2 linked regions of the Rhinolophus ferrumequinum genome follow. The protein of the gene in region 2 interacts with the protein of the main gene of each other region in a biochemical or structural test. Links are inferred from orthologs where the notes say so. Each region holds a gene or a part of one and is shown on either strand. Other genes may lie near its edges. The genes, in order: NOTCH2 and JAG1.

Region 1 (9,007 bases), on a different chromosome or scaffold from region 2:
TGCTCTGAAGCACCCAAGCATATCCCACTGAATTTAAACATTTTTCTAAAGGTCCCGAAGTCAGCAACTACAGTTCAGGTGAACCAGAAGTTACTCCTCCATGCCACAAGAATCCTACAGAAGAGGCAGTAGAGAGGGAATGGGGCTGACAGATGCCAAGGAGATGTGAGTAGATATTTTTAAAAATCAAACCATCAGGAAACAGAAAAGAGAGACTAGAAATAATCCCTCTCTTTCCTATCCTTCTCTCCCCACCCCCAAAACGAATAATACTATAGAAAGAACAAGAAAGATAAAGGAAAATAGTTTTGGGATGAATTTCATCTCCATCTGGAAAAAAAAAAAACGCACACACAACAACAGTTACTCTTTGTGATTTTTTTTTTTTTTTTAAGCAAGGGAAGAATGTGGCTGAGAAATTATCTAGCAGGCTGTAAAACCAGGGAGTCACTTCACATTGCACAGCAAAAGAAAACAAGGAGAAAAGGGTGGTCTTGGATAGCTGTTTAGACAATCAGACAGATGGGTTGACAGCTCTTTGCTTTAGGAACTCAGTGATGTTTAAATTAACAATTGGCCACAAGCCAAACGCAGGAACACTCAAAAGTTGGGAAGGGTGTGTTACAATTGGTACCTTGGCAAAACACAAATGATAGTAGAAGATTAAGAAGACTGAAGAAGGCTTCACTGCCAGACTCTGAAAAAGGTTTAAGATTTGTACTAAGAAACAAGTTTCTAATCTCTTCTATTGCAGTTTAGCACCAGAAGAACACCTGCCTAAAAATCAAAATATTTAAATCTTGTCCTTTGAACTAATTGACTAACACTCAATTTGTCCACCTAAAAGTTAGTCATAGCAATACCTCATCAGTGCAGAAGTATAAAAAAGGATGTCTTTCTATATACTGAGGTTCTAGAATGAGAGAAGGCTGACATCCGTCTTATCATTTCACACTTAATTTTGCAAATCTCTGCAATCATATTTCTTATTCCCTCCAACTGTCTGAAATAGGTTGCTTCTGTATTTCTATTCCATAGGTGAGGAGCCTACAAATCATGAAGGTTGAGTTCTTTACTAAAACAAGTTAGTGGTAGACCAAGGATTGTAACTCTCAAACTAACCCGTTGTTTATACTCCTCTCTATCCTAAATCTAGACTTATACTAAAGCTTTCCACTCAAAGAAAAAGGAAAGGCAAAAACACCATTTACGTGCTTTGTTAAATGCTTCTGAAACAACAGTTTCGATCATCATCACATCAGCCCCTGGCCCACTTCTTAAATTCTTAGGGACCTAGAGTTGTATGGAATATGAACTTCCCAAGGACCTACTGTGTTTCCTGGAAAATAAGACCTAGCCGGACAATCAGCTCTAATGTGTCTTTTGGAGCAAAAATTAATATAAGACCCAGTCTTATATTATGTTAGATAAGACCGGGTCTTATAGTAAAATAAGACCGGGTCTTATATTAATTGTTGCTCCAAAAGACGCATTAGAGCTGATTAACCGGCTAGGTTTTATTTTCAGGGAAACACAGTCGTTGGTGCTGAACAGCCCAGCACGGTGATAAATAACCTTGTTCTCTTTCCAACATCGATGATGGACAGGTCCCCCGCCTGTTGCAAGTGAACAAAGAGCAAATTTTTCTGAAGCTCATCATCTTCTTAACCTTTTCTTTGTAAAGAGACATAGCTCATGTACCAGTTTTTTGGTCAAGGTAAAATACTCCTTCATATTAGGCTAGGAAAAGCAGGGGCCGCTTGCGGCTTCACAAACAGACACAAGCTATCATCCCACTGGAAGCAGAGATTCAGAGAAAACCAAAACCCAGCCCTGCCCTTTCGGAACACCTTTTGACTGCCATGGGTTTAATACACCATTCTCTTGAGGAATCCTATTAGCTGGGTAATTTCATTCCCATTTTATTGGGGGCGTTCATAGAGCGGAGCTGGATTTGAACCCAGGATTATTTATGAAGCTCCAAAACCCAAGCGCCTTCCACTACCCGGTCGGAGGAAACTTGGAATCTGAAATTGTGGGTGGGATGGGTAAGGAATGACTGCATTTCCTTTCCTTGGTCCAACCGCGTTCAGAAATTGTCGCACATATCCAACCCGAAAGAGGCCTGCGAAGGCAGCACTTTGAATGACCCTCTCCACTGTTCCTCACCCACCCATGCCCCACCCCCAACCTGCCAAAAGAGCAGCAAATCCGGCTGCCAGGTTAGAGGAGTTGGTGATCGTCACACCACATTCCTGGGGCTGGACACAGACCGCAATAGCGCCTGAGCTGCGCGCCTCGGAAAGAATAACAGCAGTTGAGATTTTTAAATCCTGTGGCCCAGCGTGCAGCCCCACCAGTTCTCCTACTGTTCCTGCCTCCACCTTTCAAAGGCCCCGTGCAACACATCGGATTCGTCCCGCCCGTGGATTCGGAGTGTCAGACTCGGGCGCCCCGCGAAACCCTGGCCCCATCCAAACCGACCCCACCCACCCGGACTGCGTGCCTCCCCTTTGGCACAGCTACTGGTGGCCGTGAAGGTGCAAGCCGTTGGGCTGGGAGGCCCTGCCCTCGCCGACCCCCCCACGCCAGAACCTGGCATTCCTCCGCTCAGCCCCTTTGCGGTCGGCGGCCAGCGGGGGTTTGTCGCAGGCAGCCCGCCCTCGGTTCCCCTTCAACCCCAGGAAACGCGGAACCAAAAGGGCAAGACTGCCCAACTCCTAGAACTCCAGCGCCCACGAAGGGGAGTTTCTGAGCCTCGCTGCCCGGCCTCCCTCCGGCCAAGGAGGCGTGTGTGGGGCCACCGGCCGCAGGGAACAGGCGGCGGCGGGGAGCGCGGGGGCAGGGGCGCGCTCAGGGGGCCCCCACGATGCCCCAACTTTCTGGAACCCAGTGGCCTCAATCCGCGCCGGCGGCAGAGCCCGGCCTTCTCGCACGGAGGGGACCAAAGGGGGGGACCGGGCGCCCCAGATGGCCGGGCGGGGGCGGCGGTGCGCGACCAGGGCGCGGGGACAGCACCCCCGGGCCCGATACTCACCACGCGCAGGGGCCGCGCGGCACAGCCAGAGCGCCAGCAGCGCCCACAGCCGCGCGGGGTGCAGGGCGGGCATCTTCTCGGTCGCCTCCTCCGCCGCCGCCGCCGCCTGGGCAGATCCACATGGAGAGGGGGTCCCAACAGAGGAGCCCCCACTTTCTGCGCTCCTCCTCCCGCCCCGGTGGCGCCCGGCCTCGCGCTGGCCCCGAAGCTCAGGCTAGACGCCTCCACTCCCCGCACCCCGAGTCAGCCGTGCCCGGGACGCCGCCTCAGCCGCCGCCCGAAGTTCGGCTCTAACTTTCTCGAGTGTGCAGTCTCGTGTGTCCTTCCGCCTCGGCCGCCTCCTCCCACCGCAAACCCCGCCCCCTGCCGCCCAGGCCGGCGGCCGCCTGCGGCGCCCAGGGGTTTCCCGCAGGAAGAAGCGCCGGCCGAGCCGCGCGCGGAGGGATCTACTACGAGTCCTCAGCCTCGGCCGCCGGCCCGGCCCGCGTCGAGTCCCGACGCGCCTTAACGCCTTCAGCGCTGGAGCGCCTCGCTGGGCCCGGCCTCTGCCAACAGGGGTGGGTGTTAGGACGCTGAACTTCAGACGCTAGGGGCACTGAGATCGTGAACTTGCCCGGAGAGCCGGCCCTCATCCAGGGAGCCAGGGATCGCCCGTGTCACACACACACACACATCCACACACCCCGGGGTGGCCGGAGGAATGCGGCGGACGGCCTGTGCTGTCACAGAAGGAAATGGGGGCCAGGGCGCCAAAGCCCATTTAAAATGAACAGAGCCATCAGCTGGGTTGTGCTGCCTCATTCATTCATTCATTCATTCATTCATTCATTCTTCACGCATTCATTCACTCGTTTAGCAAATGTTTCTTAAGCGCCTTACTTTGCTGGGCACCGTAGGAATGGTACTAAAGTCTCATGATGCTCAAGCTACTTTTGAGGATTTAGACGTTGCTGCAGTGGGTAGGCTTTCATGGAAGAACTGGGATGAGAGCAGGATTTTGAAAGGTTAGGAAAATTTGTAAGGACGAGGAGAGCAGCTACGGATATTCATTGTAACATTGTTGGCAATACCAAACATGGGGAACAGCCTCAATGCCCACCCATAGAGGAAAGGATGGATAATGTATCGTATATTTAGAAAATAAAATACACAGCAATTGAAAGAGCATGTTCATATACGCCAATAGAAATACATTTCAAAAATAAAATGGTAGTGAAAAAACCAATTGCACAAGGAGATATAAAGTATACCATGTATATCTATTTATATTTCAAAACAATGCCATAGATTATTTATGAATGCACACCACACAGTATATAGTAAAAGAATATAACCAGCATAGCGGTTACTTCCAGCGCAGGAGAATGAGGGATGGAATCAGGCATGCGTACAAGTGGGCTTGGTTTTTGTAAGAAAAGAGTTGAAATAAATCCAAGAAAAAGTTGGTGTGGCCGTAACATTCTCCTCTGGGAGAGCCCCCATAAAAGGGTACAGATAAGGGAAGAAGTAGATGAGTTCTGGCACTATTCGCAGTGACAGGAGTCAAGGAGGGAAAGGGGGTCGGGACCAGGACCCTGAACGACAAGCTGAAAAAGAGGGAGGGGTGGGTAGGAAGGGGGGATAGTTATCTCTCAGGTCATAGAAAAACCATTGAAGGTCTTCGCACAGGAGTGAGACTTGATGGAAAGGAAGGTTGCTCTGATAATCCTGCGCAAAATTGTCAGGCGCAAAAGGTGAACGAACGGGAGTCCGAGGGCTAGTGAGGAGTTTGTGAAACAGTCCAGGCGGGCATGGCTGATGAAGGCCTGCACTACTGAGGTAGATGTCAAAATAGAAAGGGAGGGATGGACTGGGGACAATCTCGAAGAAAAAGAAAAAGGAAAAGACGCGGGTGGGGCAACCCAATGTGACTAATTGGATGTGGAGGTTTACGATCCTGTCGGGAAGGGAAATCCTACCCACAGAGCCTCTCCCGGGCTCCTAGAGGACAAAGTCCAAACTTCTAAAAATGGTCAATACAAGGCCTTCCCTTCCCTGGGCCCCCTCGCTTGTCCCCTCTGCCCCATTGTGAACTTTACACAATAACAGTATTGCATGAGTTGAGATTCCCCCCCAAACATATCTCCTTCCTTCAGTCTCTGTACCTTCTGTTCCCTTGACGCGGAATGACTTGTAGTCCCCTCCCCTCCTCCTCTTGAACTTCTAATCATTTATCCTTCAGCCCTGAGAAGGCTTTGCCGACCTTGTAACCAATTCCTACCTCGGACAGACAGTCCCTCCACTGTCCTGCTTCTTTATCTGACACTCATCTCTATTTTTCACACAGGACTGTCTGTATTTCTATCTTTTCCTCTAGATCAGGAGGTCCCGACGGGTAAGGCCCACGGCCTCATTCGTTCCCAGAGCCCAGCCCATAATAGATGTTGAACTAGAAGGTAAAATGGCACTGAACAAGCACAAAGCAGTATGATCAGCGGCCTCTGAAGTTCCCAACCGGATTTTCATAAGCACTTTATAATAGATAAGCAAGTGTTATGAGTGAAACTAGTCACCTTGGGATGCTAGAAACTCTTTGCAAAAACAACACAGTCCAATTGTTTTGGAATTTCCCTTGTGCAAATATGTTCAGAGAAAGATAATAACAGGACGGTTTAGCTGCTGACTGATAGTTACCAGCTTGATCGTTCTCTTTCCTCACTAAATATAGTTCGTAGTGACTTGGCTGTATACAAATTTTAAAAACCACCTACAAAGATTAAATTTGTCCCTATTGAGATATATTCAGAAGGATGTAAATGTCATCATCCCCAAAGAGCAGGTCTGGAAACGACTGGCTGTGACATCACTATGACAATAGGTGCGGAATTTCTCAAGGTGACTCTTTGAAAGAAAGCGATCATTATGTTACATGTGTAATAACTTGTGTGGGATTTGTTATAACGTTAGACTTATTGCATACATTCCCCATAAGGACAAGGAGAGTAAAGAGTAAAATGTTATGAAGGGAAGTAGGAGAAGGGTATGATGGAGGAGATGTTTTTAAAAATATGTTTTGAAGGAAGCTATGGATATAAATTGGTAAAAAAGAAAACAAAAAAAGGGGGAGCTGAAAATCAAGGGAAGAAACTGGAATTGACAAAGACTGAGAGTTGAGAACCAGTAAGTCAACTGGCATTTGGATGAGTATTTACTGTGGGCCAGTTCTGGTATGAGCAGTCCAGGGATAAAGCCAGAAAGATGAGTAATCAACAATTAAGACCCAGTGTGACAGCTGAGGGACTGTGACCTGTCTCCGCCCAGGGGCAATCAGGGAAGGCTTCCGGGAAGATCTCAACAGCTGGTCTAAGAAGTAGAGGACCAAACGATTAATCAGGTAAAGAGGAAGAGGAGACTTCTCCTGTTCAGTGGCCTAAACTCTTCCAGGCAGATTCTGGGGTCCATATCAAGCTTAGGTTGAGCTACACCACGCATCTCAGCACATAACCCAGGGATGTGTGATGAAGTGTTTGCCGAAGCAGGAATTAAAAGAGAGCTTTCTTTGCAACAAGTACGGAGGCTGGTGAACAATAGAGACCAGAGCCTGTTCCCTAAAGTGGGAAGGCAAGGACTTAGGCAGGGGCCGTGGGAATGCAGAAAAGCCGGGCTTTGGCTCCTAAAGTTAGTACCCACTTAGATGAGAGAGGAAAGGTGGATGGGCCATCAGCAATGACTTCCATATCCTGAGGCTTGGTGAGCTACTCCCGGATATAGAAAACACAGGAGAAGGAAAAGGAGGTTTGGTAGATTAAATAAGCAGGCAAGATAAGAAATCGATGGAGCTGGAAGAGGGAAACTGCGTTCTCCAGAAGCAGCAGTGGCTGTTGACTGCTTTTGCGAGAGCTGGAGGAGCCTGACTGATTTAAAGGATGGAACCGCGTTGAAATAGGCTTCCTACTACTGAGCTCTCCCGCAAGCTAAGCCTAAATTCCACTATGTGCGTTTAGGTGACTGGTTCCCCGATCCCTAGCAGAAATCAGGGGGTCTTGTGGTGCTGTCTCAAAACAGGAGTAGCAGCTGAGGCCATGAAATGTCAGGATGTGCCTGGAGATTTCAGGCCCAAACGTGCTCTGCAGTTTTAACGGCTCAACTGGAGTGCGGAATGGTTTTCCCCATAGACACTGCTTTGAGTCAAAGCAAGTTCTACTTTATAGGAGAAATTGGCAGGAAAACTACCAGGTGATCCTATAACTAATCACAGTGATTGCTCTTCAAGTTCCATAGCTTCACTGATCTGGAAAAAAATTTTTTTTTCTCAATCTCCAAGCTCACATTAAAATCTACAGACTATTAATAATAGAAAACATGAATAAGGGCCACCCCTAGTTTTCGTTGTAGTTGAAACTGAAAATATGCATGTATGTCTTTATTAATTAAAATTCACATGTAAAGTTGTCTCCCCAAGACAAATGCAGAATTGGCACTTACTTTGTTCTCATGTCTGTTCTCTCAGACCCAGGAGGCTGTAAAACCCCTCAAGGGCAGAGAGACTGTGTTATTTGTCTATTTTGCCTCAGTTCCTAGCACGGTCGTTCGTGCACAGACGTGCACAACAATGTGAGTTTTAAATAAACGTGGAATGAGGGGCGTGTATAGCCGTGTGAATTGGAGAGCGTGACAGAATGTCCAGGGGTTCTGGAGCATTCCAGGATGCATCAGGTAAACACTATAGATGTTGCAGAACAGATTCTGGGGTCCACATCAAGCCTAGGTTGAGCTACTCCACACGTCTCAGCACATAACCCAGGAACCCAGCGGTGTGTGATGAAGTGTCCAGGGACACAGGAATGAAAAGAAAGGTTTCTTTGCAAAACAATGCCTTCCATTTGTGCAGTGCTTTAGGCTTTCTAAAAAACACTTTTAAGTTATTATCTCATTTGATTCTCAAAGCGATCGTGGGAAATAGCCAAGCCAGTCATTATTATCCCCATTTCCCAGATGAGGAAACTGAGAGTTTAGGTGTCTTGCCTGAGGTTGAATAAGTAGTTAGTGACAGAGCTGAGACAAACCCCCCTACGTCTGACTTCTGATTCAGTCTCAGTCCACGGTTTCTTTCTGCAACAGAGTGACGCTCGTCCAAGACAATTTTTAGTGTAGGAACCTCTGGGCAAAGGTCCACCAGCTTCTTATCACTGCCATATTGGTACAGAACAAGCTGACCCACTGTCATTAGAAATGCATTCTTTGATTTAATGGAATTGTGAGGGAGTCTACCCTCTGCAAAGCACACCCTTGACTGTGGCAATACAGACATGAACCAGCTGCAGCTCCTATTCTCAGGAGATCACAGTGCACAGTGGAGGGTGGGGGTCAACAGATAAACAATATAACTACAACAGAGACAACGCACAGAGCCATGGGACAGTGGACAGCACTGTGGTTAATTCTAAGGCCACTTTCATTTTGTCCTGTCCCCAGCCTGCAAGATCTGAATGGACCGAGGTGGCCTGCGGGGTCTCTGGTCCCGCTCCCCACGTAAGAACGCAGGACATGGTGAGGCCAAAAAGAACACCCACGGAGCCATAGATGGGGGAGTCATACCACTATAGTCTCGCTGGCGGCTGGGCTGGAGACACAGGAAACAGGAGCCACACGATCTGCAACCCACCGTCCACTTCGCTCTGACAACCAACCCCACTTGCTAGCTGCAATCCGCGCTTGCTAGCTCAGCCACCGTCTTCTTGCTAGCCCCCCTTTTCCTGCTAGTATAGCCACAGCAGTTATATTAGTGGCCAATGGCTCACTGGTTACAGCTGACGGCCAACTAGCCACAGCTGATGGCCATCCAATCACAGTTGATGGCCATTTACTACCTGAGCCAGCACCTTTCCACATGAGGCCGAGAGCCTGGAAACTGCACTCCTGGCTCTGTCCCCACACCCCTGGACTATAAACAGTGTGACCACAGGAACTCTCTCTTACTCGTGGTTGTAA
Region 2 (9,873 bases):
GGAGGGGACACATAACCATTTCAGTGATTTATAAATGGTTATTCCCAAATTAGTTCCCATTCAGCCCAATTACCCTCTCACCACGTATGTTCTTATCACTGAGTCCCCAGATTGGAGGATCATAAATCAGGCTAGCTGCTTCAAGTCAAGCCCCTTGGGAGCAGCACTGGTATGGTGATTAGGAGCCACCAATGGAAACTACCCCAGGACTGGAGCTGGGGCAGTGGACACCAAGTGGGACATAATCTGGTACTATCCAGTGGGCAGCCCCACCTCTACAGAGCTGCCCACATGGACACTGGGTGGGGGATTATATTTCATGTCTAACCAAATCATTTCCTCCTCTTCCTCTCCAGAACATGAACAGTTAGTTGTTTGACTGGGGTTGTAATTCCAAACAAGACATGAATTATACAACTTTCTCAACTGAACTTCTACCATGCTCTCTGAACCACAGCAAATTTGGGAGGACCCTGCTGACAGAAATTGTGGCTGCCTAAACCATATATCCTGTGAATCTTGAATTCTGTACCAAGTTCAGTTATTAACTACTCAAGGAAATCAGTTTTAAATAGACACGCTTATTAATATTTAGTTGCCAAACTGAGTGAAGCTGTGCTTATTTACTTCCATACTTATTTGTCTACCTGAGTGCTTTCACGTCAGTTAACACTCACCCTGGAATCATTCTTGAAAAGGTACAGACTGGTGTTTCTCCAACCGCACTCAGGAAAATAAACTAAAACAATACACCTAAACTCCGGTTTCTCTTTGGAAGTAAAGCTTGTATTTCACAGCAGGCCTTTTTGGTGTAGCAGGGTGGAGACTTGTTTATGAGTGATACATGCATTTGGCCCAGCTTCAAAAGAACCACACTCTCAGTGTAGCCCCAGCAGTCTCCCCCATTCTAGAAAGTCTATTTCATGGTTGGTGACCCGTGGGCCTGAAACCACAGACCAGCATCAGGAAATCAATCATCTCTCTGCCCTCACACGCTGCTTCCACTCCACTCCTTCCCCATCCAGGCCTCTCTGCCAAGTGTCAAAAGGGGAAAGACACACCTTCTAGGTCACTTTCCCCAGCCAGCCTGGGGAGCGAGCAAGACTCTGTTTTCATCCATGCCTCCCTCTGACCCTCTTCTCCAAAATGAACCTCAGCCAGGCCTGCAGCTTTTCCATATCACTACTAGGACTCCTTTTATGGTCTTGAGGAAAGTGAGGGGGCTCAGACTGATCCTTCAGCGGGTGGAACCACGTGCAGAACCCTTCCCCCTGAACTCCAAACAGGTTACATTCAAGGGCAAACAGTATTCACAGTCAGATTAAAAATGTGGCGCACCTCTTTAGCTTCAAGTTTTCCCTAATAGGGGATTAACAGACAAGATAAACACGCTCTGTAAAAATGAAATCCCACAACAGAAGCAGCAGCCCCTATTGTCAGAGAACTCCCCATACCACAAGTTTTTATAAGCCCCTTTTAATGGCATGTTTCTGATAACTGTCTTATCTCCTCCACAGCAGAGAGCACTTTACAACGCTAGTTTCTGTAAACGTGGGCCTTGAGGGCCACCCCAAGCTTCACACACAAGACAGACACTCTCCCCTGTTCTCAGAGTTGGGAATCACAGCCCCAGGCTGCGGATAGGAGGCAGCCTAGTGCACCCCATCAGAGCACGTGGCAGAGAGTATTCCCCGCGGCACTGAGCTCCCCCTCCCCTCACCACCCACCCTCTCAGCACAGGCTGAGCCCAGCCCCAATCCTATCAATGAGTCACGCCTCCTGGACAGGAGGAGCAGGGCAGAGGGCACCAACATTTTTCCCTTTCCTCCCCTTCTGCAATCGCGCCCCATCTTCCTTCCAACCATTTCGGGATGTCGCAAGGGCCTTGCTGCACGTTCAGCCAGTGCGGGCCCGGGCCTTGAGCAGCAATCCGGCGCGGGTCCACGTACTGGCACCCGCAGGGACTGCCTCCAGCGGGCCGCCCCTTCCAGGCCCTGGCACGCCCCCGAAAGCTTGAGGGGGCCGCGCGCCCGCCGGACTAGGGCGCACCCCCGCCCTTCCCCGGGAAGTTTGCAAACACAGCTGTTCCAGAGCCCGGGAACCGCTGGAAATAAGGCCACAAGGATACACCGCGCGGGGGCGAGGGCAGGAAGGGGCCGGCAGGGGGCGGAGGCTCCCCGGGCAGCAGCTCGGAGAAGGCCCGAAGAACCACCCCCACCTCCGGGGGCCGCCCCCGCGCCCTTGCGCCTAGCCCGAAGCGCGCCCCCGCACGCACCAAAATCTCCTGGGGAGCAGCGGGAAACGGGTTCCCTCCACACCCTCCAGGAAGGACACACCCGCCCTCCGGGCCGTTCACGGGAAAGGGGAGGGTGCCAATTTGGACCGCGTTCGAAGGCCAGAATTGAGCCAAGTCGCCTTCAACGGCGCATCAGGTTTAATCGATTAAGCAAAGATCATCTATAATGACTCCTGGCTCGTGTGGGGGGAGCGTTATTCTGGGGCCTCCAAGTTGCAAGTTGAAACTGCTTTCCGTGGAGCTTTGCCCCACAATCTCTGGAGTCCCCACTTTTGTGCGCTTCGCAAAAAGCGGCGGGGATGGGGCCTGCCGAATGTTGCTGCGTAACTCCCCACCTTAAAAATCTTCCCGAGTTAGCGCCGCGTTTCAAGCCAAGGCCCTTATATCCCTCTCCCAACAGAAAGCAGCGCTCCGCAGGCGCGGGTGCGAACCTTGCTCCGGCCTCCCACCCAGCGTCCGTCACTCACCGGCCAGGCGAAACTGAAAGGCAGAACGATACGGTTGCGTTCATTGCCGCGACTGGCCTTGAGATTGAAGGTGTTGCCCCCGATGACAGGAGTGGACCCGGAGCCGAAGCTGCACGGCCCCCCGGCCGTGACGCGGGACTGGTACTCCTTGAGGCACACTTTGAAGTATGTGTCACACTCGTCGCGGGCGCACTTGCGGTCCCCCGGATTTCGGGCGCCACCGCAGCAGTTCCCGTTCTGCAGCTCCCCATTCACATTCTGCATGGACAGGATCTCTAACTCGAACTGGCCGGAGGCTCCGCATACCTGCCGGCAAGGGAGGGAGGTCAGCACGGGGGAAAGCTTCCTTCGAGGAGACCCCCTCCCCGCCCGCCCCGACAAGCCCTCGGTACCAAGTGAAAATAATTTTGCAAAACTGGGAGCAGGACTCAACGCGATTCCCAAGCAGAGAACGCACGAGTACAAGAAAAATCCGACGACTGCCCCGGAGGACTAAGAGCGGAGAGAACGCGCCCCGTGCCCGGGCTGGACGATACATTTAGGAGGCCGGGGGCTCCCCCAGCTCAGGTGCAGCCTCGCGGGAGCAGGAGCACGGTCGGGGAGCCAGGCGACCGAGGGCTCCTGACCCCGCTCGCGGCGCTCAACCGCAGGCGTCCAGGGCGCCGCTAAGGAAAAGAGAGGGCGGGCCGGGAGGGAGGCCCAACGGGCTCCTACCTTAGCTCGCAGGGCACAGAGCAGAGCGAGCAGGAGGCTCAGGGGGCGCCCGGGCCGGCCGCGCGTCCGTGGGGACCGCATCGCTGCTCTGCGCGCCGCGGGCTCTCGGGACGCCGCTGCCGCCGCTGCTGTTCGCGCTGGTGTTCCCGCCGGTGCTGCCGTCGCCGCTGCCCCTGCGGCCGCCGCGTCCCGGCTCTAATATACTCCGCCGATTGGAGCATGCACGACTGGAAAACAACACCACTTTTCAAAAGCCTTTTCACGAGCGGCCCGTTCCAGAAGGCAAAGAGCCCGGCCTCCTTTTATTATTCTGATCGCTTCTTTGAGGCGCTCCCCCTCCTCTTCCACCTCCCGGCTTTCTTTCCTTCTCTCGCGTTCCCCTTCTTTTATTATTATGATTATGCGCAGCCTTTTATTCCCTTTCAGATCAGCTGCACAGAAAGGAGGGAGGGAGGGGAGAAAAAAAAAAAACCCTAGCCCAGCTCGCTGGCCGGCCGCAGGTAACACAATGACGCGTGCCCGCCCGGCTCTCGGAGAGGGACTCGGAGAGCCCGTCTGGGAGCCGAGGCCGGGACTAGCCACCTTTACCCAGCGCGCCCGGCAGGCGCATGCGCGCTTGTTAATATTCATGAGGGGCGTGTCCTGGAGGGACACGCCCCTTCCCTCCGGGTTGATGGGTAGGGGGAGTACTGGGAGGAACTTGGAAGGGGTTGGGGGCTCTGGGACTCGCAGCACCTTTTCGACGTCCGGGGGCCCAGTGCAGACCCCCGCCCTCGGGCTCTGGGGGCCAGGCGGGAAGGAGGGGAGGGTGCGGCGAAGAACTTAGAACTGTCTGTTGCTCAGGGACGTCCTGGCCCCACCCGCGCGGACCTCCCCCCTCGGGCGCCTCCAGCCGGGCGCCTCTGCCCGGCCGTCGGGGCCCCAGGTGTAGGCGCCGCGACGCTGCCCGAGCGGTCGGACCGGGGCAGCTTCCGCCTTCCGAGCCGCCTGCGTCAGCTGCGGCTTTCGCCCCAGGAGGGCCTGCCCGCGGGGAGCCCGGCCCGCTTCCCGCGAGCGAGCTAGCCGCCCAGAGCGCGCTGCTGGCGAGAGCAGCGGCAGAGGTGGCGGCGGCGGTGAGGCTGGCGCTCTGGCCGCCGTCTGCTCGCCCGGCGGAGGCGACCTGGGCAGGCGCTGCTGGGAACTTTGAAAAACTTTCCCGGAGCCAGGCTTGCCGCAGATTCGAGGGGAAGCCTTGGCCGCGCCCAACCCCCTCCCTAATCCGAGCTGCGGAGCCTTGGAGGGCTCTCGGCTTCCTTTCCAAGCCGCACAAGAGCAGAGGCGAGGGGAAACCGGGGGAGGGAGGCAGGCACGCAGGGGCCCTGCTCGGGCTTTGGGAGGGGTAGGCCGAGATAGTGGCAGGCTTGGGCTCACACCCTCCCAGCTCCGCGGCCCAGGCCGCGCAGTGCCGGGATTGCACCTGTAGGCGGCCTCCGAGCAGCTTTCTGGGTGGCAAGAGATGAGCCTGAAAGGGACCATCTCGCCACCATCGCCCGGCAGCAGAACTTGGCTTCTCTGGGGTGACAGTGTAAACTAATGCTACTTTCCACCTTGAGGCGAGCCTCCCAATTAACAGCGACACTCCGGGTCATAACCAAGGTCAAAGGAAACCTGTGGGCTGGCCGAATCCTCTCCCAACCCCTCTCCTAGCGGACCTGCTGCTGCGTTTGAGGGGACCTCTTTAGGGAAAAGACTGATTTCCACTAAAGAGTGGGCTGGACAGTCTTGGTCCTTGTATTGGGTACGTACTACGGAAAAGCGTGACTATTTAGGATGGTTTAGGAATCTTGGAATTTCAACAGTCCAAAAAGTGTACCTAAGAAACGTACCTTCTTAATGGTAATGGGTCCCATCTAATGCTCATTGGTGAGAGAATTAAAAAACCATATTTTCAAAAGGGCATATCCAAGAGCAGAACAAGTTTGCAGCTGGCATAGGCACTAGCAACCTGCGCGTTTTGTTTTAATGTGCCCAGTTCTCACTTTCTCCAATTAAACTAAATGCAAAGCATCTAGTTGTCAACTGTATTTCTATATAGCCGTTTCTTACCAGTTTCCATTAACCATCTTCCCTACCTCCACTCTGCCCGCTTCTCACCCCCATCTACAAATTTCCCCTAATTAGGGTGCTAAGTAATGGTTTAAATGCAAAATGCTGGTGCTGATAAAAGCATAATTCATGAAGGCTGGTGAGGTCTTAAAATGCAAATCCCTTGGAGTTCCCCAGGCCTGAACCTGTTTTAATTCTGTGTCCGCAGGCCTATCCTCCACACATCCCTCAGGAAGGAGGCTGTGGAGTCAGGCCTTTAGTGGAGTTTAGATCCAGCCACCTGACTTAACCCAAGAGGGCTACCTGAGAGTGCAGGTACCTCCAGGTATCTATCCATCTGGGCTGCACGTAAAGCTGGGTCGGCTCCAAGCTACAGGTGAGTTTAGCCCCCTTGACTAATAAGAATTGACCATAGATTTCCCAAGGGTCGAAACTAACAAGCCTAACAAGTGTCAAATCACTAACAAACACAAAATTCTCATGCCAAATAGCACAGTATCCCTCACCCTCCCTGAGCTTGGAAACCCACTTTTAGAGAAGACAGTTGTGGGCTTGATGGGATTCTCTGAAAATTTTCAGTTGGGACTCTTCCAACTAATTGGTACTCCCCCAAAAAGCCAGTCACATTTATTGCGACACAAGTGGAAGCTTATCCTTCACTTCCTAGCAGCCAGTTCTCAGCCTCTGTGGCGAATGGGGAACTACTGTAGAAAGAACTCAAATATGCAGATTCTCCCTTGGCCAGGTCACATCCTGCCTTTGGGTAGAGCCAAAGTAAGTGAACATTCCAGAAAAAACATTCCTGTGAAAAATGCCGCATTGAGCCATCACACCTACACCTGTGAAGAGGCAAGGCTGCAGTCAGTTACTGTCTGGCCTGTATCATGTGCTCAAACCGTAACTATCTGTGAGTATCTTCTTTAACTTTAAAAAGATGATACCTCATTTTTCTTTTTCCACAAAACTTGCCCTACTTTTATTGAGTCATCAACAAACAGCAGTGCTGAACCCCCTCCCCGACCCCCCCCAAAGGCATAATAAAAGATGTTCAAGCTCTTATGATTGTATTTAAATACAATTAGTCAACATAAAGCCCTGGTTAATCAACATTGATAAAAAGCAAATCAATATTCATTGAGAACTAGGTTATATGCACAAACGTGAATGGTCTCAAAAATATGCTGAGTGACAAGCTAAGCAAAAAAAGACTACATACTGTATGAATCCATTTGTATGGAGTTCTAGAACAGGCAAAACTAATCTATGGTAAAAAAATAAAGAGTGATTGGAGATAGAGGAGGGTGGAGACAACTGGGATGGGCTGGAGGCCTCTTGTGGGGCAGAGGTAATGTTCTGTATCTTGAGGGTTTGGGTTACACAGGTGTACAAATGTGTGTGTCAAAATTCAGTAGTACACTTAAGATTGGTGTATTTCTCATGTTCAAAAGAAAAAAAATTTGTAATATTCAAATTGACTTAATTATATGAGTGCTGAAGTGTTCAGAAGGAACTGAAAAGATTTTCAACTTGGAAATGCATTGGAATTAGATTGATGGATGCGTAGAGGATGGCTGACTAGGATAGATGCTGAAGCAAAATAAATGCTAATGATTGGATCCAGGTGGTGGGCATGGCAGTAGTTAAATTTTTTCAAATTTCTCTATGTTTGAAAATTTTCACTATAAAATGTTGAGGAAAATAGTTATTGATGGACCAGATATTGTGTAGGATGCAAAGACTATAGTGGACAACACAAAATATTGCACTACAGAGTGGAGGGCATGCTTGTAAGGGATGATAGTGCAGATTACAGTAAAGAACAAAAGGAACTTGGTTCTTTTCCTGCATTCCTTTCTTCCTAATTCCTTTCTTTTTCCAATAAATAAGAGAAGAAGGTCAAATATAAAGGGGCATGTAAATGTCCTTTAATATTTTCCCTTTTCTTTGTTTGAATATTGCAGAGACATTCAGGCAAGTTCACAAGCCCTATTCCGTGGAAAAGCAGATGTGACATCTTTCTGTCCCTTTCCAGCAAAACCAAAGGATACTGATGTGTCTGTCCTATGAGTTCTTTTCTTGTTCCACCGCATTATCATCGCCGAAAATGCCAGCCCCCATAACTCTGCCCAGCCAGTTCCCCACGGAAGCACAGCCACCTGTGGGGATTACTCTCCTTCCACATCACAAGACATTCTCAAGAAGAAGAGGGGTAAAAAATGATCTATGGGCAACAAACTAGACAAAATTAGATATTAAAAAATCAGAATTAAGTTGTAGCTCTCATAGTAACCATAACCAGGCCACAAGTTTATATATTCAAGCATAAATTGAGTAAATCCAACCTTTTTTTTTTTTTTTTCAAAGCTTCATTTTGCATACACAAGAGATTTGAATTAATTTTCTTTGGAAACCAGAACTATAAATTTTTTGTACTATCAACAGTAATTTTGTATGAGCCTTCTTTTAAATATTGTTTTGGTTTTGCTTTGAGCTCAGGTATTTATAGTTTTGTCTGTCCTGCCCCCACTCTGTCTCACGGTCATTACATGGAAACCTGTCAGGAAAAATAATTATGTGTCCACATTGGCTTTAACAAGCCAATCACAGACAGTCACAAAAGAACCCAAGATGTGAGTAAAATCCAGGAACCGTAGGACTAATTTCCTCATTTTACCCCTTGAATTAAAACTAAAGATTCTTTATGGTTTCTCATAGGTTTTTGGAGCTAGGAAGAAAAAGTTCCACTTAGAAAATGTACTTTTTTTTACAGTTGAGTCTTTGGAAATAAAAAAAATCCTGCTGTTAAATTGGCAATCTCAACACAACTGTAAATGATTCAGTCACCCTCCTCCTTGTGGTGATGGACTTAAGAGTTGTCTGTTCTGCTGTGAATGACGCCTAAATGACTTGACCCATAGATATTCTGGGATAGCATTTTTTAAAAACCAAATCGGTCCATTTGTATAGTTGATTGATCTAAATGCAACTAACAGTTGTCTATAATTTCGAAGTGTGACTGAGCACTCACAATCCTTTTCATCCCCTAAAAGGCTTTGGAGACTATACTTCCAGAAGCAGGTAGCATTGGGAAATGTAGGGGTCAGAGTGTGTGTCACTGGACTGTGCTACCCTAGAATGCAGATTATTTTGAATTGAAATAAATTAAAGCCCAACAAACTTACTTCCCCTTTTCCTTAAAGAGATTCAGATTTAAAACAAAAACAAGAAAAGCATACCTGCTTCAGGAAGGGAACTTTGGCTTAATCAGTTTAAGCATTTCCACCCTAGCATTAGTCAGGAAGACTCCAAACATATTTACCAGGTTACCCCCTGTGTCTCATTGTTTCTGAGTTGCCTAGCAAAAATTTACCTGCCCCGTGTTTACTGCTCTTCCTCAATTAGCTGTGAATCCCTCATTCTCACTTCTGAAATCTAAGACCCCGTTCCCCCCTTTTCTCCATTGTCCAAAATGTCATGTTTACCCAATGTTGCCTCACTGGCTTTGGAATTTTCATGCTTATGTTAATTCCCCCACGCGCATGTATTAAACATTTGATTTTCTCCTGTTAATCTGTCTCAATTTGATTAGCTCAGCTAGAAGAACTTAGAGTGAAAGGAAAAGTAGTTTTGTTTTTAGCCCTCATAGAAACTACCACAATACACTTCAGTCTATGAGCACCTTTTCATCTCTTTTGCATTCAGCTTTCCAAACATGAACAAACGCAAATCTGTCTCCAGATCTTTAAAAAAAATTTTTAAATCAAAGTAATTGTTGGAACTTGCAAAAAGGAGAGCTAAATATATTCAGTTATCTGAGAAAATTTCAAAACATACATAAATGCGAGAGTCAAAGAAAGGTGATTACACCTGCCAGCAACACAAAAGCCACAGGGTTTTGAATCCCTGTATTTCATGTTTGGGTTAATGGTTCTCAATAAATTACAAGACTGTGTCTGTGTTTGACACTTTTGTTCTCAAGCCAATGGTTTCTTTACTGATGGCTTTCTCTAAATTAGAAGTTATTAAGAACATAAAAAGTGGGTGATTGCAAAGCTTAAGTTTAAATTTTCATTTGGAAGGTAAGTAGTTGTTTTTATTATTGTTTTTATGCCAAGAGCACTCGAGGATGCTAAAGAAACATTAGCTTGAGCAGAGAAATATTGGCACAAGTGCTACCTATAAATTTCTAGATCCTTAGTAGTCATAGCTACAGGTTTACCAATACACAGATTTCCATAAGCATTCAGAAATGATTTCTAAAGATTTTCTTTTGGAAATAAAACTAAGAGACAGAAAACTTAGAATGACTAT

The links.
Region 1: the proteins of JAG1 (region 2) and NOTCH2 form a complex in vitro, tested with the Homo sapiens proteins (2 studies listed by BioGRID). The link is inferred for Rhinolophus ferrumequinum from reciprocal best matches to the Homo sapiens genes JAG1 and NOTCH2.

The regions. Positions count from the first base shown.
Region 1 is NC_046305.1:49,115,383-49,124,389, forward strand, and holds the start of NOTCH2 (neurogenic locus notch homolog protein 2), read right to left. Parts: upstream 3,681-9,007; 5' UTR 3,111-3,680; coding exon 3,038-3,110; intron 1-3,037. UniProt on the Homo sapiens protein: Functions as a receptor for membrane-bound ligands Jagged-1 (JAG1), Jagged-2 (JAG2) and Delta-1 (DLL1) to regulate cell-fate determination.
Region 2 is NC_046306.1:31,352,953-31,362,825, forward strand, and holds the start of JAG1 (protein jagged-1), read right to left. Parts: upstream 4,035-9,873; 5' UTR 3,559-4,034; coding exon 3,478-3,558; intron 3,070-3,477; coding exon 2,764-3,069; intron 1-2,763. UniProt on the Homo sapiens protein: Ligand for multiple Notch receptors and involved in the mediation of Notch signaling. May be involved in cell-fate decisions during hematopoiesis. Seems to be involved in early and late stages of mammalian cardiovascular development.